Mus musculus: one gene and its partners. The protein of the gene in region 4 binds, or shares a complex with, the protein of the main gene of each other region. Links are inferred from orthologs where the notes say so. Each region holds a gene or a part of one and is shown on either strand. Other genes may lie near its edges. The genes, in order: Rrn3, Polr1c, Taf1b, Ubtf, Taf1c, Polr2f and Polr1b.

Region 1 (3,553 bases), on a different chromosome or scaffold from region 4:
TAGTTATGAGCAAAAGACTGAGTTCCAAGCTCAGTACTGTCTGTGGCTCCAATCTCAGGGGTTTGATGCCCTCTTATGACCTCCATGGGCACCAGGCACACATATGATGCACAGACATACATGCAAGCAAAATATCCATACACATAAAAATAAAGCTAATAAACCTAATATATTAATAAATTATATTATATATGTATGTATACATACACACACATGTATGTATATATGTATGTATTCCAAAATCACATAAACAAAGCCAGGTATGGCACACAACTATAATCTCAGACCTTGGGAAGCTTAGGCAAGGCAGCACACACAAATACACACAGACACAAATAGACATAGTGTGTGTGTCTCTCTCTCTTACACACACACACACATACACACACAAGAGGCCACGTGCATGTTGGCCCATGCCCTAGGACAAGGGTTCTCAGCCTTGCGTCATGACCCTGTTGAAGGGCCAATTGACCCTTTCACAGGAGCCATCTAAGATTGTTGGAAAACACAGATATTTACTTTACGATTCATTACAGTAGCAAAATTACGGTTATGATGTAAATAATGAAAATATTTTTGTGGCTGGGTCACCACAACATGAACTGTATTAAAGGGCAGCAGCATTAAGAAGATCCACTGGCCTAGGGGGATGTTGTCCTGGGGCAAAACAAGGCCATGATGCAGTGCAGCAGGATGAACTCAAGTAAGTGGAGTCGAAGGCACTGCTCGCTCAAGCTCCAAGTGCAGCAGCTAAACAGTGCATAAACAGCAGCGGAAGGAATAAACACTGTTCACCCTTGAAGTGAACCCAGAACTCCGTTCTAGGTTCATGACGTCAGATGCTCCGCGGTGACACCGGCCCTCAACTCCCTCACACATTTAAAAATAAGCATGACCGCTGTCAACAGAGTGACCCATAGAGGATAACGCCTTGGGGAACTGTGAGAAAGGCTCCAGGAAAAAAAGCAGAGGGCCTTTCATCTCAGGTGCGTTGTCCCCTGGATTGCTCTAGGAGATAACTCTGAACCTCTTGTGACAAACATTTACATTCAATTTATAAGACAGGTTTATTCTTGTTGGATGTGGGAACATAGCTGTAGAACCCAATCTGGTCAGTGGACCATGATCTGAATATGACCTCCTGCTTTGCTTTTGTTTCCCAGATATAAGCTATGGTACACGCCAAGCAGGGCTGCTCTGTCTGTTAGCATTTATTTGCATGTTTTTCTGATCATGTGTTTCTGAACTCAGGCAACCATCCTTGGTTCGCTGCTCTCTGTGTTACCCTCCTGTATAAAGCACACTGAAACGGAAGGGAGGCTGTCTGCATTAGACTAGACCCCACCCATTCTCTCAGGTCCTCAGATCCCAGGTCTCGAAGACAACACCTGCACAGGTCGATGGAAGTCACAAACTCAAGACCAGTAGCAGTGCCCTAAAGGTATAAGTACAATAAGAAAACCCAGCCTGAACCCTCACAACTGACCTTGCTTCAAGTTTCCACTCAAAAGCTGCTTGTGTCTAAAAACAACAGTGTAGAACACAGCTTGGCAGGCTGAATAAAATGGTCCATGGAGTGCAACGTCACAAAAAGCCTTTGTTCCCGAATCCTGGTTAGTAAGGTACATGTGCAGCCAGTTAACCAAGAGATCCAGGCATGTCTTCACAGTGCTAGAAAGAGAAAACAGTCAGGGTTATTGCTTTTATCAGAAAGCTAGAGACAGAAACACACACCTGTCTTTCACTATCCATTAGAGAAGGCTCAAATACTACCTATGGGCTGGGGTGTAGCTCACTGGCAGGCAACTGCTTAACATGCATGAGGTCTTAGGGTCCATCCCCATCACAAAAAAGAAATAAATCAATAAAGTAATAATAATAATAAACAAAAAATATAGGCAAACAAAAAACTCACCAAAACCCTTACCCACTAGCAGAGCAAAGCAGAAGGAAAAGGAAGGTGGCAGGAAGTTGCCTTCAGATTTTTTGTTGTGGTTTTCCATTTGTTTTTGGACAGGGTTTTTCTGTGTCGCCCTGGCTGTCCTTGACCTCAGAGATCCACCTGCCTCGGCCTCCCAAGTGCTGGGGTTAAAGGATGCCTTCCAATTTTAAGGTGAAGCAGTGCTAACTTTTGTAGAGCAAGAGGCCTTAGGGCCTGATTTGCAGAGCAAGACTTTGTTTCAGAAAAACACAATGAAACAAAACAAAACAAAACAAAACAAAACAAAACAAAAAAACCCAGGATGCAGCTCAGTTTTTCCAACTCAGCTGGGGTTTCCTGGGTCAGCTCCTAACCCACTGGGTTTGTGGCTAAGGATCTCAGCTTCTTCTGGTCACAGACTTTCAGTTGACTGGGGATGGGTTAACAGCATCTCTCTGAAAGACAGCTTCTGGAGCCTCCTGAAGAAACTGGCCTCCATCCCACATCTAATTACCTTAAAAAGGGTTTTCCTCAGGACAAACAGACACAAGGGACTTGGAAAGCAAGTGAAAAATGACAAACCTACAAAAAGAATCAAAACAATCTACAACACCATGCTATCCATGAAGACAGACAGGCTCAGGAACAACACATGAACGCATGCTTTCTAAAAGCCTCATGTACTTCTTCCAAAATGGAGCCCTCCCTGCCTCAAGCTGCTTCTTAGAAATAAAGACAGACGGGCTGGAGAGACGGCTCAGCGATTAAGAGCATCAACTGTTCTTCCGAAGGTCCTGAGTTCAAATCCCAGCAACCACATGGTGACCCACAATCATCTGTAACAAGATCTGACTCCCTCTTCTGGTGTGTCTGAAGACAGCTACAGTGTACTTACATATAATAAATACATCTTTAAAAAAGAAAGGCATCTTGCATTGTAGTGATCAGATTTCCCCCTTGCTTTACAAAGACAGACCAAAAGTATAAAGTCAATTTCTCTGACTAAGATATTAAAAAGCATTTGGAGAGGAGGGCTGAAGAGATGGCTCTGCGGTTAATAGCACTAACTGCTCTTACAGAGGTCCTAAGTTCAATTCCCAGCAACCATGGAATCGGATGCCCTCTTCTGGTGTGTCTGAAGAGAGCAACAGTGTACTCGCATAAAATAAATAAGTACATCTTTAAACAACAACAACAACAAAAGGCTTTGAGAAAATTAGGTTACTTACATAAGAGGAATAAATTTAGCTCTGGCCAAAAAGCTCCCAATATAATTTGCAGCAGCCTGCCTGATGATGGCGGGGTTATTTGGATCCTGCAACTTTTTCCAGAGATGTTCCAAAAATGCTTCTGCAAATCCCTGTAACAAGAGAGAGCGCTCGCTTGATCTTTCTAATGCTGAAGATCTTCTAGCTCTTAGCACCTAACACTGTAGTTACACACTGCTAACACAAAGGGGCAGCCGTGGTTCTTACTGAAGCCAACCCCGGCAGACTGAGCTCTCCCCCCACCCATCCCTTGTGTCAGTCCCTGCTCCCCAGGCCTCAGCAGGGTGACAGGGACTGCTTGGCCTCTCCTACTATCTCTCCAGCCACATGCCCAGCCCTTAACAGAACCCCTTCTCCCTCCATC
Region 2 (4,219 bases), on a different chromosome or scaffold from region 4:
ATTTGCTCTGCAGACCAGGCTGGCCTTGAACTCAGGACACATCTGCCTGCCTCTGCCAGTGCTTGGAGTAAAGCTGTCCACCACCGTGCCTGGCCATATCAACTCTAATACCAGGCTGACAAGAAGGCTCACAGAGTGAGGGTGCATGCTTGCTCCAACCTGAAGACCCAAGTTCAATCCCCAGGAAGAATGTAAAGGTGGAGAGAGCCTGAGTGCTGCTAGCGCTGTGTTCCGAGGGTGTACACAGTGAGACTAGAGGTGGGGTGGGGACAGCTGTTCTCCCAGGCGAAGGCAGATGTACAAGATGCCAACTAAAGCCCCAGCAGTAGGCCTGGGACCTGAGCCCATGCATTCCAGGTCAGTTCTGCCTAACTCATAATCCCAAGCTCTCAGCCTCACCTTGGTTCCGATATTCAAAGAGACGAGGATCAGCGAGGATGGGGATGAGCCCCAGGCGGTGAGCAAGGATCTCATCCTGGACTATGGACGTGTTGTTATACACCAAGACCTTCTCCACGGCCATTGTCGGCACCTGCCCAAGGAGGCAAAGCAGACAACTGACCTCCACCCATCCCCCTGCCTGGAAAAGGAAGAGGCAGCACTTTTTCATTTTGCCCTTCAGATTCTTTTTTTTTTTTTTGGTTTTTTGAGACAGGGTTTCTCTGTATAGCCCTGGCTGGCCTGGAACTCAGAGATCCACCTGCCTCTGCCTCCCGAGTGCTGGGGTGCTGGGACTAAAGGCGTGTGGCTCAGATTCTTGATACAATGTTTACTATGTAGCCCAGACTGTCATAGGTGTGAACCACCCTACCTGCCCCAGAGGGATGGCTTTGAGAAAAGCGTCTACAAATTGATACAATTTCTACCCTCCAGCCCACGTCCTCTAATACCTCAGCTAACAGGATTCTCCGGAAAGCATTGGCGATGGCAGCATCAATCCCCACCATGTCGAACTCCAGCGTGTCTTCATCCATTTGCACCACGTCCACACGGAAATTCTAGAAGGAGGGAAGCTCCTGCATGACTCCTGCCTGGCTCCTACCCTGCACTATCCCCTCACCCTAAAGTCATGGTGCTCAGTAGACATTTTGTCTCCAGTCCTGTTCTTGGGGGCAAGGCTGTGTGTTTCTTGTTTTTTAGGTTTTTCCAAGGCCAGGTTTCTCCATGTAGTCCTGGCTGTCCTGGAACTCTGTAGACCAGGCTGGCCTCAAACTCAAAAGATCCACCTACCTCTGCCTACCAAGTACTGGGATTAAAGGTGTGCGCCACTATGCCCAATCTTCCCAGATTTTCCACAAACCACCCAGAGAAGTTACTATACAAAAAGCAGAACTTCCCACACTACTTAGACCGTTTGATACTTGCATGTCTGTTGTCGTTATTTTTTAATACCTACTTTTCTCAACTACATTCCCTTGGATTTTGAACACCAATTTCCTTATCTGCTCTTCTTTCTAAATTTCCCCTTCCACCCACACAGTAAACGTTCCTGTCTCCTAGGTTCTAATCCCCTGGCTGACCTCCACCATGCTCCTGGCTCAAGCAAGCACATAGACTTCACAAGCAGGCACCTGAGTGTACCCTCATTCTTGTTCTCCTGCTTGGCAAACGACACAGCCAGCAACAGTTCCCCAGTGCCACTGGAGAAATGGCTCAGCTATTAAGAGCACTTAACTGCCCTTGCAGAAGAACTGGGTTTGGTTCCCAGCACCTGGTGGGACCTAACATTCTCCTCACACTGCAGGGATCACTAACACACAGTGGTGCACAAATACACATGCAGGCAAACACGCATATCAAGAAAGTTTTAGGGTCCTCAAGTTACAAAGTCCTTTCTCTCACACACTGCCTCCCCAGAGCACTGGTGCAAATCGTCTAGTTCTCCCTGCCTTACTCCGTTAGTACTGTCTGGAGTTCATCTATGCCCCCAATTTCAGCCTGCATACACTAGCTGGCAGATTCACCAGAATTCATTCCCTCCTGGCTATCAAGATTGCAAAATGTTATCAGTCTACTCAAAAATTCTAAATTGGGCGTGGTGGCTCATGCCTTTAATCCCAGTGCATGGGAGGCAGAGACAGAAGCAGGTAGATGGCTGAGTTCAAGTCCAGCCTGGACTATAGAGAGAGTGCCAGGGCTAAACAGAAACAGTTTCAAAGTGAATTTTAAAAAAATCATATATAATGAAGCTCCAATCAGGCCTTCACTACTCAACTTTTATTCATAGTTCAAAGCTTAATTCAAATGCCATTCCCTTCACTGACCTTTAACTACGTCCCTTCAGTTAGCTGGATTCAGTGCATCAATGATTCCTGACCATATCCCAGCCATCTTCACCGCTATCTTACTATTCTGGAATAACTTGTCTGTGTGGTCCATTATCCCACCGAGAGCAACCACCGTGTCTGACCCGTCCATGGAGCTCAAGCGTGTTGTATGGAAACAGCGACCCCCACCCCAACCTGCGAGGTCTGGCCCCTCGGGCCGACTGGGCACCTTCAGCTCTACCCACCTTCTCGAAGCGGTTCTGGTCCCAGGCATCATCATAACCGGCGTAGTTACCGGGAAAGTCCGTGGTGTGGACCTAGAGCCAACAGAAAGGGCAGTGTGGCCAGCCTTCACACCAGGCCTCTACTTCCCCGTGCCGCCCTCATCCTTCCCGCGCCCCGATCTCTTACATTGCGAACCCCAAACTCTCCGAGAACCACGCGAGTCCGCATCTCCTCCACCGCCTGAGCCGCCGCCATCTTCCGCCACTCGCTGTAAAAGGAGGCGAGTCCGCGCCTGCGTCTCCGCAGCAACGCTCGGGCTCCCGCAATCTTGAATGTCGCGAGATCTTGCCCCGCCTCTGTCCACGTCCTTCACTTCCGGACGTCAAGTGGGGCCAAACATCCGGGTTTCTCCCTTCGGCGTCCCGGCGGATCCCCACCTTGCCCGGGCGGTCGCCCCTCTGAACCTCTCCCTCCCTCGGACCCGGGTCGCACGCTCTTCCCACGCGCGCGTGCTCCAGCGACGGGAAGCCTCGAGGGACATGGCGACTCCGGCGGCGCCGGCCAGCGGCGTCCGAAATGGTGCTGGCCCGGAATGGGGAGGCTTCGAAGAAAACATCCAGGTATGGAGCGCGCCTGCTGCCAGCAGCCCCGGGCTGGCGGCGTCCGGACGGTGGCTGCTGTTCTCTCTCGCGGGGCCTAGAGGTCGGCTCCGCTGAAACGCAGCCTGTCCCCTTTGAGTCTTCCCGGGGAAGGGTGTAGCTCTTGTGCTGGCGTGAAAGGGACAAACTAGGGCTCCCGCGGGCCTCGGCTCTCTGTGGGGGCTGGAGGCTAGGATCCACTGGCACCCCCTAAAAATAGGCTTGTTTGAGAATTGGGAATGGCAGATGGGCTCTTTTGCAACTCTTTGGAGCTTTGAGGTGGAAAGTAGGAAAACAACGTGGATTGAAAATAAATAGTAGGGTTTCCAGGACCACAAAAGTGACGCGACCAAGAGTTGCCACCACTGAAAGAGTGGCAGTTCCAAGCCATGTCCTCGGCAGTGGAAGATCAAAGCCTCAAGTTGTCAGCTGAGCGGAGAACGGGGAGGATGCAATGGAAGGGCCCCTCACTCTCCGAGCCGTTGTCTTCACAGGGTGGGGGTTCGGCTGTGATTGATATGGAGAACATGGACGATACCTCAGGCTCCAGCTTCGAGGACATGGGTGAGCTGCACCAGCGCCTGCGGGAGGAAGAAGTAGATGCTGATGCAGCTGCTGCAGAAGAAGAGGATGGGGAGTTTCTTGGCATGAAAGGCTTTAAAGGACAACTGAGCCGGCAGGTAGCAGATCAGGTAAGCCAATGGGGAAAAAAAAAAGGACCTATGCATGTCCTAAATTGATCGAGGTTTTCCACTTAGACCCACACGTAAATCTCGCCGAGACTGAATAACAATCTAGAGCCAAGAGTCTCATCATACCCATTTCCCTTCAGATGTGGCAGGCAGGGAAGAGACAGGCTTCCAGGGCCTTCAGCTTGTATGCCAACATTGACATCCTCAGACCCTACTTTGATGTGGAGCCTGCCCAGGTCCGAAGCAGGTGAGGCGCCTTCTCTGAGACATCTGTCCTCACATCTAGACCCTCATCCAGACTTCACTCAGACTCAGAGCCCTGAGCTCTGGTGGACTCCCCTACTTGCAACCCCATTACTGAACTGAACATGTTGTGAATACTTGGTGAAAGGTACAG
Region 3 (3,553 bases), on a different chromosome or scaffold from region 4:
GGAATGAAAAATCCCACAGTCACCACTTACACTAAACAAGCATAATTCCTAATTACACTTAAACGTATGTCCTTATGCCCACAGGTGAGTGTACTCCTCCTCCTCCTCTTCCACCTTCTCCTCCTCCTCCTCTTCCTCCTCCTCCTCCTCCTCATCATCATTAAGGAAATTTCTCTTTGCAACAGATGGAGACTATTACAGAAAGTCACAACCAATCAAACTGCAGAGGTGTGGAGCCCAGTCCTAATGGACATATCCACAAGGCACTCTGACGCCTGAGGCTCAGGGCACATAGCAGAGGAGGACAGGGATTGGAGGAAGCAGAGGACCAGGATTTTGCTGTGACACTGTATCTCCTAATGTCAGAAGTGACACACATAATGCCTCACACACATGGCTGCCTAAACCAGAACTGAACAAGGACAATGACAACAGAGATGCCTAAGCGGACAGGGAACCCATGAGGCCTCAGGCAGCTGAGGAAGGGGAGAGTAGACTTCCCCAAGGAAAAGCCTGAGCACTGCTTATTCAACAGCAAATGGTCAGCTCTGAAAACACACAACAAATAATATTATACAGACTGAGCAGGGTCTATTTATTTAAGTATTATGACAAATGTATGTATACACATGCATGTAAGCAACAATTAATGGAAAAAGAAACAAGATAGTGCATTTGAAAGAGACCAAGAGGTATATGGAAGGGTTTGGAGGGAAGAAAGGAAGATGGGAAATGGTGTAATTATATTATAACCTCAAAAAGGAAGAGAAAGGACCTCTTCAGCCTGAGTTGGAGATTTTATCACACCTCAGGCTTTTGGAGTTTTAAAAACATGCGTACCTTTTGCAGAACTTCTGGGTACTGAGCCAATACAGGGAGTTCTTGGTTATCATGGACTGGCCTTTCATTATCAGGAGTCCCTGGAGGCTGTGTCCATGGAAACAAGGGCTATCAGTGCCTTCTTCAGTCCAGTTGAACTGAAAACTTGAAGGGGCCTGCTTTTCAACCACGGGTGATGAACCAACCAGGGCACTAAATTGTTTTTGAAGATTCTCCACCATTTCTGGAGATGGAGGGAAGAGAAAAATGTTACTGCACAAGGAAAGCCAGCAGTCACGGGAATGGATTGCTTTAGGGGGGACACTCCGGGGCCTCCTCCCTCCCTTAGCCTCCTGAGTGCACACACACACAGCTGGTTTCCTAACTGCAGGAACATACGTCAGAGCATTAGGTGAGGCTGGAGCTGCAGGAGGGGCTCAGACAGTTACTTAACGAGGGCTTCCTGACAGAGCTCTCACAGTCACGGAAACAGGACCTTGGTCTTGCAGGGAAACTGAGCTCTCTATGAAGGAGCAGGCAAGTTTCCAGGACTTTTATGTGACTTCCCCTTTGGCAGGAGATATACTCGAGAGCATCCCCAGGGAGTGGAAAGTATGTGCATGCCCTTGCTTTTCCTGTGGACATGGTTGGCACTCCCAACAGTGCTGCTACATGGCACAGAAATGAAACCATCAGACTCACTTCTTCTCTTATATGCGACGGACTTATCGATGTGTGAACGGTAGAGTGGCCTTTTGGTTTTCCAAGCATACCTGTACAAGGCAGAACAGAGGTGAAGCAGAGTGAGAAGCAGGTGCTCAGAGCTCTGAGACAGGCAGGACCTGACACTCAGCAGCTCTGGGTGCTTGTCTACACTCTCTCAGTACTTCTGCTCCAGAAGGAAACACCCAGAGAGAGCAGAGCATCAGTGTGCCCCTCCTAGGAGTCAAGGACCCTTTAGGAGCCATTATCCAGAACACAGCAGAGAAGGCTGCCATCACCGTGTGGCACTCCTTTGCTCTTTACTCTCATTGCTGTTTCTCTTTGCCGCAAACGCTGATAACTGAGGGCTGTGCCCTCTGATTCTAGAAACCCATACAAAATAGAAGGTGAGTACCTGTCTCTCTGGTACCCAATGCCTGGAAACCACCCTCTTCCTGCTGAAAATAAGAAGGAAAGATCCAGATTCTAGCAAGACAGACCTAAGAATCTGATCTTTTGAGAGAGGGCCAGTTAGGCATGTTCACTGCAGAGGGGGTGCTGGGATGATCTGGTCCACAGGGTACCCCCCTCCCACTCCCCACCAAAGGTTAAGTGCTATCTGGCTTCCTGCGATTGACTGGTGACCATTTCTGGTCCAGGCAGCCATCAGTACTGCCCAGCAGAGGATGCCACTGTGGAACAACATAATTCGATGTTTTCAAAGCTCATTTCTATTCTCCTGCACTTCCTTAAATAGGAGCCTTCCAGAAACCACAGTAAAAAAAAAATAATCCACCTTCTTGATCCAGGCTACTAAAAAATGAGTAATAAAGACAGCATGGTGCAGAAGAAGACACTGAGTCAGAGGATCTGCTCAACTTCTGCATGTGTTCAGCAGCCTGAGTGACTATGAAGGTCCTGGAACTGTCTCTGTCTCCTTTATCCTCTCTAGGGCACACAGTAGGCATTCAACTTAAGGGTTTTTGTTGTTGTTGTTGTTTGTTTATCTTTGTAGAATTACATCATTTTAATGCCTCTATGCCTCTCATAAGATGTGGGGTCAAGGTTTTCCCATTCATGTTTACATTCCTCAATACCCACTATGGCTATATATTCTTTTTTCTTCTCATTAGTTTACTTATTCATTTACTTCGCACCCTGATCACAGCCCTCCTCCGAGGCCCCCCTCACTCGTCCCTCCCCCATCTTCTCTCTCCTTCATCTCTGAGAAGAGGGACCCCTGCTCCCCCGGTACAAACAATCTTGGCACCTCAAGTACATCCTCTCCCACTGAGGCCAGACAAGGTGGCCAGTCCAGTTAGGGGAACAGATCCACGGGCAGGCAATAGAGTCAGGGTAAGCCAAGTCAGTTGTTGGGGGACCCACATGACTACCAAGGTGAACATCTGCTACATATGTGCCGAGGGCCTAGGACTGGCCCTTGTATGCTCTTTGGCTGGTGGCTCAGTCTCTGGGGTCCCCAAGGATCCAGGTTAATTGACTCTGTTGGTCTTCTTTTAGAGTCCCTGTCCTCTCTAGGTTCCTTGTTAATAATAGATGGGATGGCACACAGTAGGCATTCAACTTAAGTATTCATTAATAATGGACTAGATGAATACATGAGCCAACAAACACATTTAGCATCTGTGCCCTGTTTCCTGCTCTTACAGGGCAGTTATGAGGACTAATTTACATCGTATTTGTGAGGCTTGCAATAGTGGTGACACATGCCTTTTATTCCAGTACTCGGAATGCAGAGACAAGTGCCAGGCCAGCCAGAGCTACATGGTGAGACTATATCTTTTTTTTTTTTCCGAGACAGGGTTTTTCTGTGTAGCCCTGGCTGTCCTAGAACTCACTTTGTAGACCAGGCTGGCCTCGAACTCAGAAATCCGCCTGCCTCTGCCTCCCAAATCCTGGGATTAAAGGCCATCATCTAAAAAAAAAAAAAAAAAAAATACAGTTGTGCTGCTCTGTGCTGCAGAGAGTGGTGGTACAGCCTGAGCTACACAGTGAACTGAGGCCAGCAAGG
Region 4 (4,309 bases):
TGCCAGTGCACAGAACGAAGCCTGAGAGGAACCTTTTACAAGGCTGGAGAGCTCGTGTGTGAAAAAAGACAAGTTTGAAAAGAGAAGCTGGGGACCCATACCTTGGCCTTTGGGGGCGGCCATTTCCAGGTCTGTGGGACAGTCCGCTTCTCCGTTCATTCTCCAGCTGTCCAGCCACCTCCTCGGTCGCGCTGGCCGGGCCACCCGGGGTCAAAGCCACCTCACCCTTTTGAAGAGACACCAAACCCACTTAAGGAGGCTGAGAGGAGGGGGGCTTTCTATCCCACCCCCTCACACATGGGAGGGGGCATAGGTCCACACTCTCAGCGAGACCCGAACAGGAGGCTCATAGACTTCATCAGTGGGTGCAGGAGTGAGCCCCACTCTTCTCTACCCCAGCCCCCAGAGCCAGGCGGTGCCGCATGCGCCCTCCCCTGCCCACGCGAGAGACTGCTCCCAGCTCCCGCGTGCAGCTAGCTCCCGCCCTCCGGCCTCCTTCCCCCACCCGGGCAAAAAAAAAAAAAAAAAATTCTCCTCCTCCTCCTCCTCGGTGAGCGCCCGCCCCGGGGAGGCCCCAGGCTGGAGGGCGGGGGAGGAAGGGCGGGTAAAGGGCGCGCGCGGGCATGGAAGCGGGCACGCGCCTCAGTCTCCTCCTCCCGCTTTTCCCCGGCCGGTTCCCCCCGCCTCCGCAACCCGGCGGGGACCCGGACGCCGCGCAGCCGCCGCCAGCCCGGGAGCGCAGCGGCCGGACCGCCCCCGGGGACTAGATCTGGATTCCCGCTGCTACCCCCCTCCCGACCTCCCAACGCGGTCCCCGCCTGTCCGGGCAGGCGAGCAGTCGGAGAAGCGGCCTAGCTTGTCCCCCGTCCCCGAACCACCCGGGGCCGGAGACGCCGCCGCCACCACCCAGCCACCCCAACACGCACGGAAGAAACCCGGCGCAGAGGCGCGACCGCGGCGGGAACGGCCGCCTCCTCCCCGAGCCTGCGGCCCAGCCCTGCCGGCGCCCCCGCCCCGGCCTCCGGGGAGCCGAGCCAAGCAGAGGGCGGGAGGACGGCGGCCGCGAGGCGGGGGCGCTTCGCTCACCGGCCCCGCCGCCCCCTCCGGCGGCCGGCGAGAACTGCGCCTGTCGGCCGGAGAAACGCGGGCTCCTCCACCCGGGGCCTCACTTGGGCCTCGCTTCCTGCCCTTCCTACCCCCGGCTCACGGCGCCCTTCCCCGTTCCCTGATCATCTTGTCTACAGTTCTCCCGGTATCGCCACTCGGCGTCTACCGCAGCCGCGGCTCGCTCCCTAGCCCCGGCCCCGGCGCACGTCCTCCGCCGCCTCGGTTACCCGGCGCAGCGCGGCCTCTGAGCTCCCCGCTCCGGCGGCTCCCTTCTCGGCTCTGAGCGCGGCGCCCTCCCCCGCTCGGCCGGGCACAGCCGCAACTCCCTCCCGCGGCGGCAGCGGCTCCTCCTCCGGGCGCGGCGGCGGCGCTGGGGCGGCGGCTGCTGCTGCTGCTGTGGCGGCGGCGGCTGTGGCTGCTGCCTGCTGCTCCTCGCGGCGAAAAGCACAAAGCACAGCGCCCTCCGCCTGCAGGCAGCCCGCCCGCCCGCCCGCCGGCCCCGGCCTCAGCTCGCACACCCCCCGCCGCCGCAGCAGCCTCCGCCGCCGGAGCGGGGAGGAGGGAGAAGGGAGGAGGAGGAGCGGGAGGGGGGGCGGGAGAAGCGGGGCAGCGAGCGCGTCCTTCCCCGTAGAGCGCACACCGACCCCCGGGGAGCGAGCGCCAGCCCGCCCGCCTCGCCGGCTCCGCTCCCTCCCACAGCCTGCCCGGGCGGGCTCCGCGGGGGGCAGCTGGGAGGAGGGGCGGGCGCTGGGGGGACCCGGGCGGCCGAGGCGGAGGCAAGGAAGGAGGGGAGGGGGGTGGTGGTAGTGGCGGCGGCGGCTGCTGCTGTTGCTGCCGCCGGGGAAGGGGGGGGCCGGGACAGGGAAGACACGCAGCCGCCCGGATGGCGGCGGGGCTGCGAGCCGAGGCGGGCGAGCAAGCGGGCGGCTAAAGCGACCTCGCCAGCCCCGCGGGGGAACTAGCAGGCTTGGCCGGCGCGGGAGGAAGGGAGGGCCGAGGTGCGGCGGTGGAGAGGGTGGCCGGCGAGCCTCGCGGGTGCCGGCAACCCTGCTCTGGAGCTCTCTTCCAGGCTCTCCCAGCTTAAGCTCGGTTTCCCGGCCTAGTCCTCATCTGCTCCTCTCTCCCGCCTCCGGGAGCGGGCTAGCGACCACCCTGGTCCCCGGAGCGTGGCTACCGGCTTGGGACTCACGCTCCCGGATCGCGGTGCGAGGTTTCGGCGCCTACCTCTCGGTTCCCTTATGCTCCGCAGAACACCCGTGAAACTTAAAATATATATTCTTAGTCCCCTAAACAACAAAAACCTCTCCCGTCCCTCCTCACACCCGGGAATCGGCCAGGAGCTGCCGACCCCAGCGGAAGAGTCACTCTGGGAGCCGGTTCAATCCAGCCCGGCATGGCTATCCAGGCCTTCCCGGGCGCGTGGAGGACGGAGATTGGCGCCGCCAGAGAGCAACCCCTTTCCCCCGAAATCCGCGGCACCGAGGCTTACTTACCGAGCAAGTGGGTGCTAGTGAGGGCCGGGGGCGCCAGGCAGCACGGCAAGCGGAAGAGCCGAGCCGCAGCTCCGCAGCTGCCGGCGCCCGGGCAGCGAGTCTCCAGACAAAGCCCGAGATGGCGAAGCGGAGCGACGGCTAATGGCGAGCCCCACGCGCCGCGCTCCGCCCGCCCCGCTCCGCCCGCCCGCCCGCCCGCCTCGGCGCAGCGCAGCGCAGCGCCGCTCCGAGCGCTCGCCCGTCAGAGCCGCCTTGGCGCCGCCGCCTCCCGGGCCGCCCCGGCCTCGCCTGGCCCCTCCGCCTCCTCCGGGCGGCTCAGCCTCACCCCTTCCCTCCCACCGCTCGGGGGCTGCACGAAATTTTAAAAAAAGGAATAGTAAAAAAAAAAAAAAAAAATGTTTTTTGCTTTTTTTTTTTTTTCCAAGGCAGATGTTTTTCGACATTTAGCTCTTTTTTGGCTCCCAGCTCCCACTCACCTGCGGGGCCTCCGGCAGGGCTGGGGGCGGGGGTGCGCGGGGCTGGAGCCGCCGAGCGCGGGTTGAAAGCTAGCCAAGCTCTGCAGCGCCCGACCCGGGCGTGTACGCCGCCGCCAGTCCCCGCAGAGAAATCGTCCTCCTACCCCCGCCTCCATCGCTCTGCGTTTCTCTTCCAATCAGCCGGTCGCTTGGCGGCTCCTCCAGTCTCCGGCCAAGCCAGCTGCCTAGAGCGAGCTCCACTCCATCTGCTTGCCCGACTCCTCGCTCTCCTGTCGGGGCGGGCAAGGCAGCTTGAGGCCGGAGGGGGATCTGTGAGGGATCCTGCCTGCTCCCTCTCCCATTGCTCCATCCTTGCTGTCTCCTGCCTCCTCCTCTCCTGCGTTTTTCCAACTCTCCCCTGTCGCCACTGGTGTGTGTCTGTGTGCGCAGGTTTTCTCTCTCTCTCTTTTTTTTTTTTTTTTTATTGCTTTGCTTTTGCAACCCTGAAGCTAAAGCGGGATGGGGGCGAAGGGGAATGTTACAAAAAAGAAAAAGGGAAAAAAAAAAGCCTCCTAGGTTTGCAACGTATGAAAATACCCGGGAAGTACCCCGCCTCGTTTGGGTCTCGGTGCCCGGCGAGGGCCTTCCGGATTTCAGAGCCAGTCTTGGGTTGTTCTCGATGTCCCCCATCTTCACCGGCCGTATGATCCGAGGAGTTAAGAACAAAAAGTTCACCCCTGTGTCGTAGTAGGGTGTCAGTGGGAGTTGGGGAGGTTTTTCAAGAAGCAGCGGAACGGCCATCCCTTTACCCTGGGCTTCAGTAACTAGGCCGCGACCGGGGTAGGGGTTTAGAGCAAAATCCCAGCGCGTTTGTGCGAAAGAGCTGGAAGGGGGAAGTCGGAACCGGGAACGGAGCTTCGTGCGTCTCCCCCTCGGTCTCTGCTTCCAGTTGCCTGCAAGCTCCCCCTTTAATTTTTTTTTTTTCTCCTCCTTTCCTTTAATCTAATTTCTTCCAACTCCACCTTTGTTGTTACCGGCGTCACGCCTGGATCAGCCAATCCCCTTCTCGCAATCAGCTTGTCAAAAAGGCTTGGCCAGCCCTGAGAAAGCAGGCCGCGGGCGCTGTCCCCCCACCCCGGCGACGACGGGGAGCCCACAAGAGAGCTCCGCACCCCGGTTTAAGGCAGGATTTGAGCAGCCCGGCAACCACAGATCTAACCTCCCGTATTCCACCATCCAGCAAGTCTGGGGAGA
Region 5 (4,222 bases), on a different chromosome or scaffold from region 4:
TTTTGGTGGTCAACTGAATATTTGAAATTAACTGGGACCCAAACTGCTGGGCACACTTGTGAGGAAGTTTAAAAAAAATTATTTATTTATTTATTATATGCAAGTACACTGTAGCTGTCTTCAGAGGCACCAGTAGAGGGCATCAAACCCCATTACAGATGGTTGTGAGCCACCATGTGGTTGCTGGAATTTGAACTCAGGACTTTGGGAAGAGCTGTCAGTGCTCTTAACCGCTGAGCCATCTCTCCAGCCCTGTGAGGGATTTTCTTAATCAGATTATTTGAAGGAGGAAGAGCCATCCTAAATCACCTTCTGGTGGCAGCCCAGATAAAAGAAATGGAAAAAGAAACCATGATTTGTGCCTGCTGGACCTCACCCTCACCGGCAAAACCATTTATTTTATGGCATTGCTGAAGTTTTCCTTTCAGTATTCAAATCAATTTCTTTAGGATTCCAACAGAGACTGAAGCTCGGCGGCTCTTTAGGAATGGCCCAGGACTACAGCACCAGATCAGAACTGCTGAGACAACCAGCCTCGTGGACGGAACAGTACCAAATTCTCCTTGCCATTTCTGTCATAAGACAGCTATTATTGAACTACGCAGATCACAGCCTGTAAGCCGGTCTAATAAAATCTCCTCTATTCCATACTCATTCAATCAGTTCTGTTCCTTTAGAGATCCCTTAATAAACTCAGGAACACAGATTTTTCTCCCTGAATAACTTGCTCCACCATGAAGACCGATTTATGAAGTTCTGATAATTACAGGACAAAGGAAAGTCAAACCCAAAGAAGTCGTCAAACACATTGGCGGGAATGTCATGTAGGTAGGTTGCAGTGACGCAGGAGAATCTGTTCCTTGTCTCGATTCTATCTGAAGATATTCTTAGCCTCCAGGCGATGGAAAGCAAGTGGTCAGCAGAGCCACGCGTCCTAAGTTTTACGCGATAGTGTCAGGACCAAGGCAACTTACAGGCAGAGCCCAGGACTCGCTGCATGCGAGCGAGTTTGAACAGATCCCCCAAAACTCGCAGGTGCACACACAAGGAATATTAGCTTGAGAATGACAAGCTAATATTCCCTCCTGGCCCCTGTTAAAGCCACACATGCACCCAGAGGTGTCTATGAAGCGGATTCTAGGACTTGTGGGTAATAAATACAGTGCGTGGCTCATCGGAGGTGCTCACTTGTTCGTTGAGAGGATCAATTCAAGCTTCTCAACACTTTTGTGAAATAGGATGGAAATTTCATAGCTTAGGCGCCACGACCATGCATATTGGCCCTCAGCTCTGCAGGTGGCGCTGGAGGACTCGGTTAGATGATCTGGGGGCGGGACTTCCTGTTTCTCGGGCGAACTTCCGGCCTGATCCGGAAAACAGTTTAGTCTGCTCCAACAGTTGTGGGTGGCGGCGTTGAGGTTCGGCACTCTGGCTCCTTTGCGGCCCCGGGGTCAGGTGAGGCTGTTGCGGGAATGCTGAGAGCACGTGGCAGACCACGTGGCTATAGAGACTGGTCGATTACAGCGCTGAGGCTCGTCCTAGATGCTGGCCACGAGGGAGGGCGGTCCGGGAACACTTGTGGTTACTACACACCGGTTTTCAGTTCAGACTCTAAATTCAGCGCCTTCACGTCTTGTCCAGCGGGTACTAGTGCTCTGCTGGTGCTCTTATTGCGGATGTTAGATTTAATTTTTACTAAAAATGAGGGCTGACTTGACAGTTACTGCTTCTAAAGAGTTCCTGCATTTATTCAGCCCACGGGCATTTTCGGAGAAGCCTGTGTTTGGCAGTGGGGAAGCAGGAATAGTACGCAGCCCATGTCCACAGAGGGGTGGAAGAAAGTCAGCCTGCTACTGTCATGCGCAGCGCGTTGATGAACGCTCAGCCTTCATCGGCATCACTTGGTCCTCCACACTCTCCCCTTTGTATATTCTGTGGTTGCTTATCTCTTTGGCACTTTACCTGCCACGAGGCCTTTTGCGATCACTTTCTCCCCAGCCCCTCTTCCAAGGTGTGAGCAGAGATATCTGTCTGGCTGCCCTCAAGAGAGTGAGCAGTCCTTGGGCAGCCCTGCTGACGCGCTGGCATTAGGCATAGTCTGGTCTTTATCTGCTACCTTGTAGTGGTCTCCCCTACTGTGTTCTGAGAACCCTGGTGCACTGTTGAGACTCCTAATGAAGGCGTGTGTAACGTTAGATACATTCTCTCCAGGATGGACTTCCCTGGCACCCTGCGCCCTTCATTGTTTAAGGCCGGTCCACTTGGCATGACTGATGGCCCTGACCTGTCCTTCATGTGCAGCTGGAGAGATGCACTGACCCTGCCAGGGTCCCAGCCACAGAACTGCAAGGTGAGGATGGAAATAGGGTCCTTTCCTTGGTCTGTTCCTCCTCCTTGCTCACTTATTGGGAAAAGAGGTCTAGGCAGCTGCTACTTGAGCTGCGCACCGGTTGCCCTGCTGTCCAGACAGTGTCTCTCAACAGAGGCTGTGGCTCCTCTTTCCTCGCTCCCTCTCCCTGGGTTCAGCAGGTGTTTATGTGTTGGGGTCCTTACAGGCCCAGGAGCCCAGCATGAGGAAGTCAGGCAACCCCACCTAAGGGACTTCCAGTTATGGTGAGAGACTGTACACCAACGGGCAGACCTTTTATAGTGTGGCCTTGACTTGCCTGAATTAGTGGAATGCCAGGGGCAGGATTTCTGCTCTTGGGAGGTCCATCTCTAGCAGCCTTGTATTGAGTACATTGAGGAGAGCATGTCAAAGAGAGGGTGTTGGGGGAGGGGAGTTCTTGGTCCTTGGGACAAGGGTGCCCACTGAATGGCAGGACTCAGAGGAGATAGCTGAGGAAGTTGGAGCTCATTGGGTTGTGGGTAGGCAGTCATGACTTAGGCGCTTCCTTTGAAAGCTGCTGTGAATGAAGTTTAGAATTCAGTTCAGACTCTGGAGTCGGTTGCCTGGGTTCAAGTCCATGCCTGTTTGTTGCTTCTGTCACCTAGGGCGGCAGCCTCATGCTTCAGGGTTCCTCATTAGCGAAGTGACCACCTTTTCACATTTGTCCCGAGGACTGAGTTAGTTAATTGGCAGGGATTGCACACCTGTCATGTTATTGCTGCCCCGTTTCCCTAGGATCCGACCTTGTCCTTTGCCAAGAACCTACTGTGGGAGCCATCGACGCCAGGACCCCTCCCCCTCCTGATGCCTCCTGATCCTGGTAAGAGTCTCTCTCCTTTTGGGCCCCCTCCAAGGACCTCAGCCATCACACGCACAAGGGGAACCTCAGACCTCCAGGGGTATCCTGTCCCCATTCCTTCTCAGGTTCTTCTCTGATCTCCTTCTCCCCTTAGATCCCTGGGACCCTGGTGTGACAGCTCAGGACTTCCTTTTCCGGGGAGGTCACTGCTACCAGTACCAGTCTCAGGCTGTGCTGGATGTCACTGAGCAGGTAAGTGTCCCTGGGTGAGACTGGTTCTCAGCGCCTGTGCTATGCTGACTCACACAGCTGTTCCCTCCAGCTCAGCCGCTTCCTGTGGGACCATGGGGACATAGCCTTCGCACCCCTGGGGAGACTCATGCTGGAGAACTTCAGATTGGAGGGGAACCGGGTAAGGAGCCGCCACCACCGGGTGGATGGTCAGCCGCCTCCCTGGTGAGACCCAAGGGTACCAACCTGACAGCCCTTCCCTGCAGGGCTACTCGAAAAAGATGACTATAGTCAGCGCGAAGAAGCTGCTTCAGGACCTCGGCGGACACCAACCCTGGGGGCAAGTAGCCAATGAGAGAGCAGCCATGGACTGGCCTGCCGTGAGATGTGGAAGGACCTGGGACACTGACCAGGTTTTCGTCATAGTGGCTTTTCCAGCCCCACACAGTCCTGAGCCATGAGTTCACAAAATCCCCGGCAGCGTAAGGGAAAAGCAGATTGGTCATTGGTAAACCTTAGGCGTGGGCTGCCAGACCTCCACCATCATGGGTCGCATGCACGCTCCCGGGAAGGGCCTGTCCCAGTCGGCGCTGCCCTACCGCCGTAGCGTCCCCACGTGGCTGAAGTTGACGTCTGACGACGTGAAGGAAAAGATTTACAAATTGCCCAAGAAAGGCCTGACTCCCTCCCAGATAGGTGTAATCCTGAGGGACTCACACGGGGTGGCCCAGGTCCGTTTTGTGACTGGAAATAAAATCTTGAGAATCCTCAAGTCCAAAGGCCTTGCCCCTGACCTCCCCGAG
Region 6 (3,553 bases), on a different chromosome or scaffold from region 4:
GCATCTGCCTCCTAGCTCTAGCCCCTCCGCGAGGCGCCTGCTTTTCTGTATCCTTTGCAGGGCACTGCCCACACTGCCTTTACATCAGAAGCTCCCTGGGGAGCTAGAGGTGATGTCTTCATCACCTCTGCATCCTCGACAGGTGCAGTGGTGAGCACTGCTAGATTTGCACAATGAAGGCTTCCTGCTACAGGGCAATCTTAGCTAAAGGAACATGTGTCCCAGAACACTCAGCAAACTGGAAATGTCTTGTACCTGTGATGTCCCCGTGCTAACTGGGAGCCACAGACAGGCCCCTGAGCATCTGAGGTATCTCTAGTATTGGTGTGTGTGTGTATGTATGTGTGCGTGCTTTCTTTTCCTTTGTTTGGGTAGGTGTTTTTTGTTGTAGTGGTGGTTGTTTGGGGTTTACTGTTATTGTTTTTGAGATGGTGCCTCACTGTGTAGTCAAGGCTCTCCTGGAACTCCTTATGTAGACCAGGTTGGCCTTGGAGTCACAGAGATCAACACACCTCTGGTTCCTGAGTGCTGGGGTTAAAGGTGTGCACTGCCTCACAGGGCTGATTTAATGGCCACATGTAGCCAATGAGTGCCATAACAGAGACTATCCTTAGGCCACTAGGACCACATATCCCCCTGAAGGTGGCTTTACTCAAGGAGCCAAGAGTGCAGCCAGGCTGAAGAAAGGTCTATAGCTGAGGATGGCTGAGGTCAACCTTGACTGTACATAAGACCCTTTACCGAGGCAGACACTGCAGTCAACTTTACCCAGGGCTGTATGAACCCGTGGTAGGGATGCTCACAGCCCTATGCAGGCCTCCCCAGCCCCATGGGAGAATGTTCTGCTGTTGCTGTGTTTTTCCTTCTCCCTAGTCCATCCTGCAGCACCCACGCGCCCCATACCAACAGTTTCCCTTAGGCTTGGGTCTCCCACTAGAGTTCCACTAACACCCTGCCTCCTCTGGATGGGCTGAGCTCACTGGCCGGCCATCCAAATTTAGAAAAACAACATGCTCTTCAGTTTCCTAGCGCCCAGAGCCACCGTTGCTCCAGACTTTCCCAAGTGAGGGGCCTGCTTACTGGGCTGGGCTGGCCAGCCTCCCTCCCATCAGCGTAAGCTAGAAGGAGCTGTTGCAGCCTTGCCTGAATTCACTCTTATTTTGTTTGACCAACTGACAGGAATTCTCTGAACTCAGGTAATCACATGTACTGGGCTCCACCCCAGACCTCTTTTCATTCTTTATCTTGGGGCAGCGTCTTGCTAGTTGCCCAGACTAGCCTAGAACTCACTCGGTAGTCCAGGTAGGCCCGTGAACCCATGATCCTCCTGTGTCTTTTTTGTTTGTTTGTTTTGTTGTTGTTTGTTTTTTGTTTTTCGAGACACGGTTTCTCTGTATAGCCCTGGCTGTCCTAAAACTCACTTTGTAGACCAGGCTGGCCTTGAACTCAGAAACCCGCCTGCCCCTGCCTCCCGAGTGCTGGGATTAAAGGCGTGCGCCACCACGCCCGGCTGACCAGGGTTCTTACTGTCACTTCTCATGTCACTTCTTACATTTTCCCACAGGTGCCCTAAAGCACTGCACAAGTCCTGACACACCAGGGCTGGGCAGGACCAGCAGCTTGGGCTCACTGTGGTGAACTGACAGACACGACGGCCAAAGGGCAGCACTTACGCGATCTGAAGAGCCCGGGTGCCCAGCACCCGGGCCCGCTCATACTTGGTCATGTAAGGAGTGGTGATCCGCTTCTGGTTGGCCTGTGGTCGCTCACCAGATGGGAGAATCTCGACATTTTCCTGGCCCTCCTGGATAGCAAGCAAACAAAGAGGGGAAATCTCAGGGCAAGTTTTGGATCAGGTAGGACGATGATGACACAGAGACTTCCCACCACCCTCAACCCTTTCTGGATGTCATGGACCGTGCAACCACTCACTGACACCACGCAATCCTTAACCGCATGCAACCTTGTAAGGTAAGGATTGTGGTCCCCAATCCAGGGGCTTCAAGAGTCAGCCAACCTGACCAAAACCTCCAAGCTAGCAGTAAAGATGACGGTGTTCAGAACTCTAGAGCCAGCCGCCTTGCCCAAACAGCTGGCCCTGTAAGTGGTGAGCACACCCTGAACCGGAAGCTCAGGACAAACACCTGCTCTTTCATATGGCAAATGAGTCACTGGGTCAGGTGACTAGAACAGTCATGGTAAATGAGAGTCAAACACATACTGAGCAAGAACCTGCTGTCCTCTGCTCTATTTAGGCGAGAGAGAGAGAGAGAGAGAGAGAGAGAGAGAGAGAGAGAGAGAGAGAGAGAGAGAGAGAGAGAGAGAGAACACACGAGACCATGGGTTTCATCCCCTGCAGCACGCATGCACAAACGCACACAGGAATAATGGTGATCTGACACAAAGCAAAGAGTTTCTGATAGCAATGGCGGCTGCCAGAGAACTGCGCAGCTCATGATCCGTTTACATGATTCTAAAACCAAGACTTAAGGGTTAGGGTTTGCCTCATAGAGTAACCTGCTTGCTACCTAAACTGGAGAACCTAAATTTGGGTCTTAGCCTCCATGTAGAAGTCTGGGTCTGTAGCAGTGTGCTACAGGCATAGCCACAGAACTAGTGGTAGAGTCAGAAGGGTTTCTGGGGCTTGCTGGCTGACAGCCTAATTGAAGCACTGAGCCTCAAGTTTAGAGAGACCCTGTCTTGAAAAATAAGATGGAGAAGGAGAGAGGATGACCTCTGACCTCCACATGCATTGCACAGGTAAGTGCGCCTGCATACAGCACACGTGCACATGCATAAAAATACATAAAAAAAAAAAAGTAATTGTTTGCTGTGTGCTTACTACATGCTGAACCGTATTTAGGATACAGTAGTGAATAAAACGGACCAAAGTTACTTCTACCTGTGCCTTTAATCCTAGCACTCAGGTGGCAGAGGAAGGCTGATTTCTCGTGAGCTACAAGCCAGTCTGGCTTAAATAGTAAGTTCCAGGCTCTATACTAAGATCCACCACCACCAAACCATACATAAGACGACACGATTATCCCAAGACCTAGTTGAGGTGGCACTCAGACAAAGGCCCGGAGCAGATCCATGGAATTGCATTCCTGGAAAGTGAACAGGGAAAGCCCTTGGTGAACGCTGCCCGTCCCTTGTCCGGGCTGCAGGGCAGAGGCCGAGGCTGGCTACTGACCTCCTCAGCATTTTCCAAGTCGTCAAGTCCTTCGTCCTCCTCAACGTCATCAAAGTCGTCGCCGTCGAAACTGCCAGAAGAAACTGGTGGTTAGAGCATCACCGGCCAGAACCAGAGATACAGCCCATGTCTCAGCAGTGTCGGACAAGGGGCCGGCAAATCTCAACAAGGGAACCAAACTCTGGAGGGTCACTCTGTGCCTCCAATCATGTGCCATGTGTCCCCACAGTTTGCTAGGACACCTTCACTGTGGTTTCCTTCTCTGTGAACCACGCCAGTTACATGTACACATGGACTGTTCTGGTCCGGGGACTGTGTGTTTAAGGTTTATTTTATCTGTGTGTTTGTGTATGTAAATGT
Region 7 (3,553 bases), on a different chromosome or scaffold from region 4:
GTGGGACTGGTCCAGACATGGTTGCTTATCTAACATCTTGATGGAGAACAGCAGAACTCAAGAGTTCAGGTTTATAGATACTTTATCAGACCAAAAGGACCAGTGGCTACATGTTTTGACATTCTGAGATGCTGCTCTCCTAGGTGTTGTATCTATGGTAACAATTACAGGATGATTATTATCTCAACTATAAAAATAAATTTTATATATGTAATATAAAAGTTTTATAGAGAATGCCATATGCTATCTTATGGTGCCAGGCACTGTCACAGGCAGCATTTGAACACAGACTAGTCCCCCTTGAGGTTATGCCAAGGCAGCCTGAACCAGGGGGCCTCTGAGGCCTTTGTTCACAGGTACTCAGTCAGGCTAGCCTTCGTCTTCAAAAACAACACCATAAATATATGGAATCTTCCAGATGAAAAATATACAAAGGATTTTCATTATGAAATCACTCTCTGGGTTATATCTCAAGTTTTCTTAGTAAACAGCATATATATAGTAAAGCAATTTGATGCACATATACAAAGGGCGCCAATTTATACACATATACAATGGTGCCAACTAACCATGATCCACTCAGGAGAAACCACAGTTCACTTCTGAACTGAGACCTGCTCCTAGGTTAACAGTGCTGTGTATTTTCTCAGGATGCTGGACAGCAGCGCTGAGCCAAAGCTCCCAACCAGCGCAGAGATGGAAAAGAAAACCAGCTGACACTCTTCAGGCTCCGGGGTCGCCAGTGTTTCGAACAGTGTTTACACAGGCTCGCCACATGTACAAAAAGCCAATCTGTGTGCGAGCACAAGAGCATCGACACTCGCTCATAAAACAGGCTTTGCTTTAGTCGAGTTTTTCATCGACACTCGCTCATAAAACAGGCTTTGCTTTAGTCGAGTTTTTCAAAGTGTATGCTGCTGTATTAATAACTGTTCTAATCACATCTGGGCTTGCTAAGCTAAGCTACTATGTGTGCAGGTCAGTGTACTGAGTGCATTATTATGTGTGCGGTGTCAAGTAATGAACCCAGAAACTTCTGCAGGTCAGACAAGCTATCTACCACCAAACCAGTCCCTGCCTCTAAGAACATTATCCCCACCCCCACCCCACCCCACCCCAGATAGGGTCTATTAATGAAACACTGACGGTCCTGTACTGGAACTCACAATGTAGACGAGGCTGGCCTTGAACTCAGAGATCCACCTGCCTCTGCCTCCCTAGGGCTGGGATTAAAGGTGTGCCCCATCGTGCCTGGCTCTAAGTGCATTAAAAAAAGAAAAAAAAAAAATATATATATATATATATATAAATAAAATTAGAGCTGTCAGACATGGATGCTGTGAATTGAACTAAGGTTCTCTGAAGATTACAAGCTCTGAAACTGCTATCTCTCCAGCCCCTTTAAGTGCATTTTTAAAGCACTCTGCTTTCAATTTACTCCAGGCTTATGAAGACAGAACCCTGCTAGCTGAGAAACATGCATAGCAATGGCCATAATCAAACTGATGAAAATATCAATTACCACATATAGTCACCAACTGTGCATGTCTGTACATGTGGGACCAGACACTTAAAAATCTTAATTTTTAAATTTCAAAAGCAAAACAGTATCATTAACTACAGTCCCAGTGCTGTACACTAGCACTAGATTGTATTCAAGTATGTGTGTGTTCGTTCACATGTGGGGGGCTGTTATTCTCCCACTCAGGCACAGGGGTCTTCCTCACTCGCTTCTCCGCTTTGCTTTTTTGAGACAGGGTCTTCACTGAACCCTCAAACTTTCTACCTTGGCTAAATTAGCTGTAGCCCCTGCCTGGGGCTCCTGTTCTCTCCCCTCCAGTGCTAGGATCAGAGATGAGCACTGCTATGCCCCTCTGCTGTTTTTAAATGTGGGTGATGGGGACCCAAACCAAATTCCCCATGCTTTCCCACTGAGCCACTTCCCAGCCCTGTCCTTAGCCTGTAACTTAAAGTTTACACATGGATCAACACTCCCCCCCCCCCCCAACCTTCACCCTGAACATCATAGAAGTGCTTAATGGAAAAACAAAAATAATGTAAGGGAAACACAACTATTTTGTAGAGCTGTTAATGGTTTTCAGGTTGTCTAAAGCAACATTCTGACGTTCACTAAGACTCACCAAACTGAGTGTAGCCGAGTCCTCTGCTTTTCCATTTCGGCCTTACCATGGCGATGGGGAAATTTCTCCGGGGCACAATCAACATGCGGATGACTTTTTCTATGCCATTGATTATAAAATAACCGCCCATTTCCTGCCAAAGACATGGTTGTCAGCTGTTAAACAACTAGACACAGTATTTCTTGCCAACAAAGTGCAACCCTCAGGAGAGGCACGTGCCGGGCTCTGGAAACAGAACAAGCTCCAGGGTAAGTCTTGTCAAATACACGAGTGTGATCCAATAGACACAGAGAACAGGATGTCAGGAAGACAGGGCCGTCCCTTCCAACCAGACGGCTCAGTAACACTTTTCTTTCTGTCCCAACTTATTTCAATTCCTAATTTAAACAAATAAAACTTGCTCCAAAAATCTAAAGATAAAAATACTAACCACTTTTGCTTTCAAATGGGCTCCCGGGTAAGCTAAGAAAATAATGACAAAGGAAGAGGTTGACTACCCAAGAGCTCTGCTAACTACAAATCCGGACCAGACAAATTTAGGAAAATACGTTTAACGATAAAGAAAAAAAGAGTATATACTAACAGTCTGCTATCAAACAGACACCCCCGCTGCAGCTCTGTGAACGAAGCACATGGTTCTTCTAGGTACGCCTGCTTCACTAGTGATAGGTAGGCCTGCCTCACTAGTGATAGGTAGGCCTGCCTCACTAGTGATAGGTATGCCTGCCTCACTAGTGATAGGTAGGCCTGCCTCACTAGTGATAGGTATGCCTGCCTCACTAGTGATAGGTAGGCCTGCTTCACTAGAAGAAATGGAGGCTTAGGGTGACTTAAATTCTCCAAAGCCCCACAACTGGCAAACAGGGAGGCTGAGTGTCACATCCTGATTTGACACCCACACCTTCTTCCCAAGGCCTGACAGTCTTCTTAGGAATATGCAGAGTTTGTTGCATCTTCCTTCCTTCACCTCAATAGCCCACAGCTACCTTCGCAGCTAAAACGGAGGAAAGTGTACAGGAACCACCCAGTCAGCTCAGGGAGCTTTGCAGGCAGCTTCTACAATGCTTCGGTGGTTCAGTATTCATGTAAATATGTCTATGGATAACTCGGAAACCTAGGACCAGAAACATGGCTCCGCAGGTAAAGGAATTTGCTGTGGAGCCTGACAACCTGAGTCCACGCCCTGACCAACACCTGGCGTGCTGTCCTCTGATCCTCTGACCTCTACATGTGGTCAGAGGATACCAAGTGACTAAACTGACCCCCCTCCCCACCTCCCTTGGCCACCCACAATAATGACATAGCCAGGCTTGGGTGTATACACCTTTAATCCCAGGGTGGGGTGGACGACGTGCATTAAAGTGGATCTCTGTGAGTTGATCCACACAGTGAGTTTCAGGCCAGCCACGGCT

Evidence for each region.
Region 1: Ubtf (region 4) and Rrn3 share a complex: the UniProt entries of both Homo sapiens proteins name them as parts of the pol I pre-initiation complex. The link is inferred for Mus musculus from reciprocal best matches to the Homo sapiens genes UBTF and RRN3.
Region 2: Ubtf (region 4) and Polr1c share a complex: the UniProt entries of both Homo sapiens proteins name them as parts of the pol I pre-initiation complex. The link is inferred for Mus musculus from reciprocal best matches to the Homo sapiens genes UBTF and POLR1C.
Region 3: Ubtf (region 4) and Taf1b share a complex: the UniProt entries of both Homo sapiens proteins name them as parts of the pol I pre-initiation complex. The link is inferred for Mus musculus from reciprocal best matches to the Homo sapiens genes UBTF and TAF1B.
Region 5: Ubtf (region 4) and Taf1c share a complex: the UniProt entries of both Homo sapiens proteins name them as parts of the pol I pre-initiation complex. The link is inferred for Mus musculus from reciprocal best matches to the Homo sapiens genes UBTF and TAF1C.
Region 6: Ubtf (region 4) and Polr2f share a complex: the UniProt entries of both Homo sapiens proteins name them as parts of the pol I pre-initiation complex. The link is inferred for Mus musculus from reciprocal best matches to the Homo sapiens genes UBTF and POLR2F.
Region 7: Ubtf (region 4) and Polr1b share a complex: the UniProt entries of both Homo sapiens proteins name them as parts of the pol I pre-initiation complex. The link is inferred for Mus musculus from reciprocal best matches to the Homo sapiens genes UBTF and POLR1B.

What each region holds. Positions count from the first base shown.
Region 1 is NC_000082.6:13,804,677-13,808,229, reverse strand, and holds part of Rrn3 (RNA polymerase I-specific transcription initiation factor RRN3), read right to left. Parts: intron 3,282-3,553; coding exon 3,151-3,281; intron 1,672-3,150; coding exon 1,487-1,671; intron 1-1,486. UniProt on the Homo sapiens protein: Required for efficient transcription initiation by RNA polymerase I (Pol I). Required for the formation of the competent pre-initiation complex (PIC).
Region 2 is NC_000083.6:46,245,217-46,249,435, forward strand, and holds the start of Polr1c (DNA-directed RNA polymerases I and III subunit RPAC1), read right to left. Parts: upstream 2,830-4,219; 5' UTR 2,748-2,829; coding exon 2,679-2,747; intron 2,585-2,678; coding exon 2,513-2,584; intron 999-2,512; coding exon 891-998; intron 533-890; coding exon 400-532; intron 1-399. Other genes in the region: protein YIPF3, read left to right, coding at 3,032-3,112, 3,625-3,822, 3,963-4,069. UniProt on the Homo sapiens protein: DNA-dependent RNA polymerase catalyzes the transcription of DNA into RNA using the four ribonucleoside triphosphates as substrates.
Region 3 is NC_000078.6:24,554,029-24,557,581, reverse strand, and holds part of Taf1b (TATA box-binding protein-associated factor RNA polymerase I subunit B), read right to left. Parts: intron 1,593-3,553; coding exon 1,522-1,592; intron 1,064-1,521; coding exon 841-1,063; intron 1-840. UniProt on the Homo sapiens protein: Component of RNA polymerase I core factor complex that acts as a GTF2B/TFIIB-like factor and plays a key role in multiple steps during transcription initiation such as pre-initiation complex (PIC) assembly and postpolymerase recruitment events in polymerase I (Pol I) transcription.
Region 4 is NC_000077.6:102,316,248-102,320,556, forward strand, and holds the start of Ubtf (nucleolar transcription factor 1), read right to left. Parts: upstream 2,850-4,309; 5' UTR 2,601-2,849; intron 1,809-2,600; exon of another isoform or gene 1,335-1,808; intron 1,041-1,334; exon of another isoform or gene 927-1,040; intron 459-926; exon of another isoform or gene 227-458; 5' UTR 160-226; coding exon 102-159; intron 1-101. UniProt on the Homo sapiens protein: Recognizes the ribosomal RNA gene promoter and activates transcription mediated by RNA polymerase I (Pol I) through cooperative interactions with the transcription factor SL1/TIF-IB complex.
Region 5 is NC_000074.6:119,602,368-119,606,589, reverse strand, and holds the start of Taf1c (TATA box-binding protein-associated factor RNA polymerase I subunit C), read left to right. Parts: upstream 1-1,383; 5' UTR 1,384-1,455; intron 1,456-2,211; 5' UTR 2,212-2,212; coding exon 2,213-2,350; intron 2,351-3,124; coding exon 3,125-3,209; intron 3,210-3,342; coding exon 3,343-3,440; intron 3,441-3,510; coding exon 3,511-3,600; intron 3,601-3,685; coding exon 3,686-3,759; exon of another isoform or gene 3,760-3,832; intron 3,833-3,943; exon of another isoform or gene 3,944-4,222. UniProt on the Homo sapiens protein: Component of the transcription factor SL1/TIF-IB complex, which is involved in the assembly of the PIC (pre-initiation complex) during RNA polymerase I-dependent transcription.
Region 6 is NC_000081.6:79,144,304-79,147,856, reverse strand, and holds part of Polr2f (DNA-directed RNA polymerases I, II, and III subunit RPABC2), read right to left. Parts: intron 3,264-3,553; coding exon 3,194-3,263; intron 1,805-3,193; coding exon 1,674-1,804; intron 1-1,673. UniProt on the Homo sapiens protein: DNA-dependent RNA polymerase catalyzes the transcription of DNA into RNA using the four ribonucleoside triphosphates as substrates.
Region 7 is NC_000068.7:129,103,970-129,107,522, reverse strand, and holds part of Polr1b (DNA-directed RNA polymerase I subunit RPA2), read right to left. Parts: intron 2,275-3,553; coding exon 2,142-2,274; intron 1-2,141. UniProt on the Homo sapiens protein: Catalytic core component of RNA polymerase I (Pol I), a DNA-dependent RNA polymerase which synthesizes ribosomal RNA precursors using the four ribonucleoside triphosphates as substrates.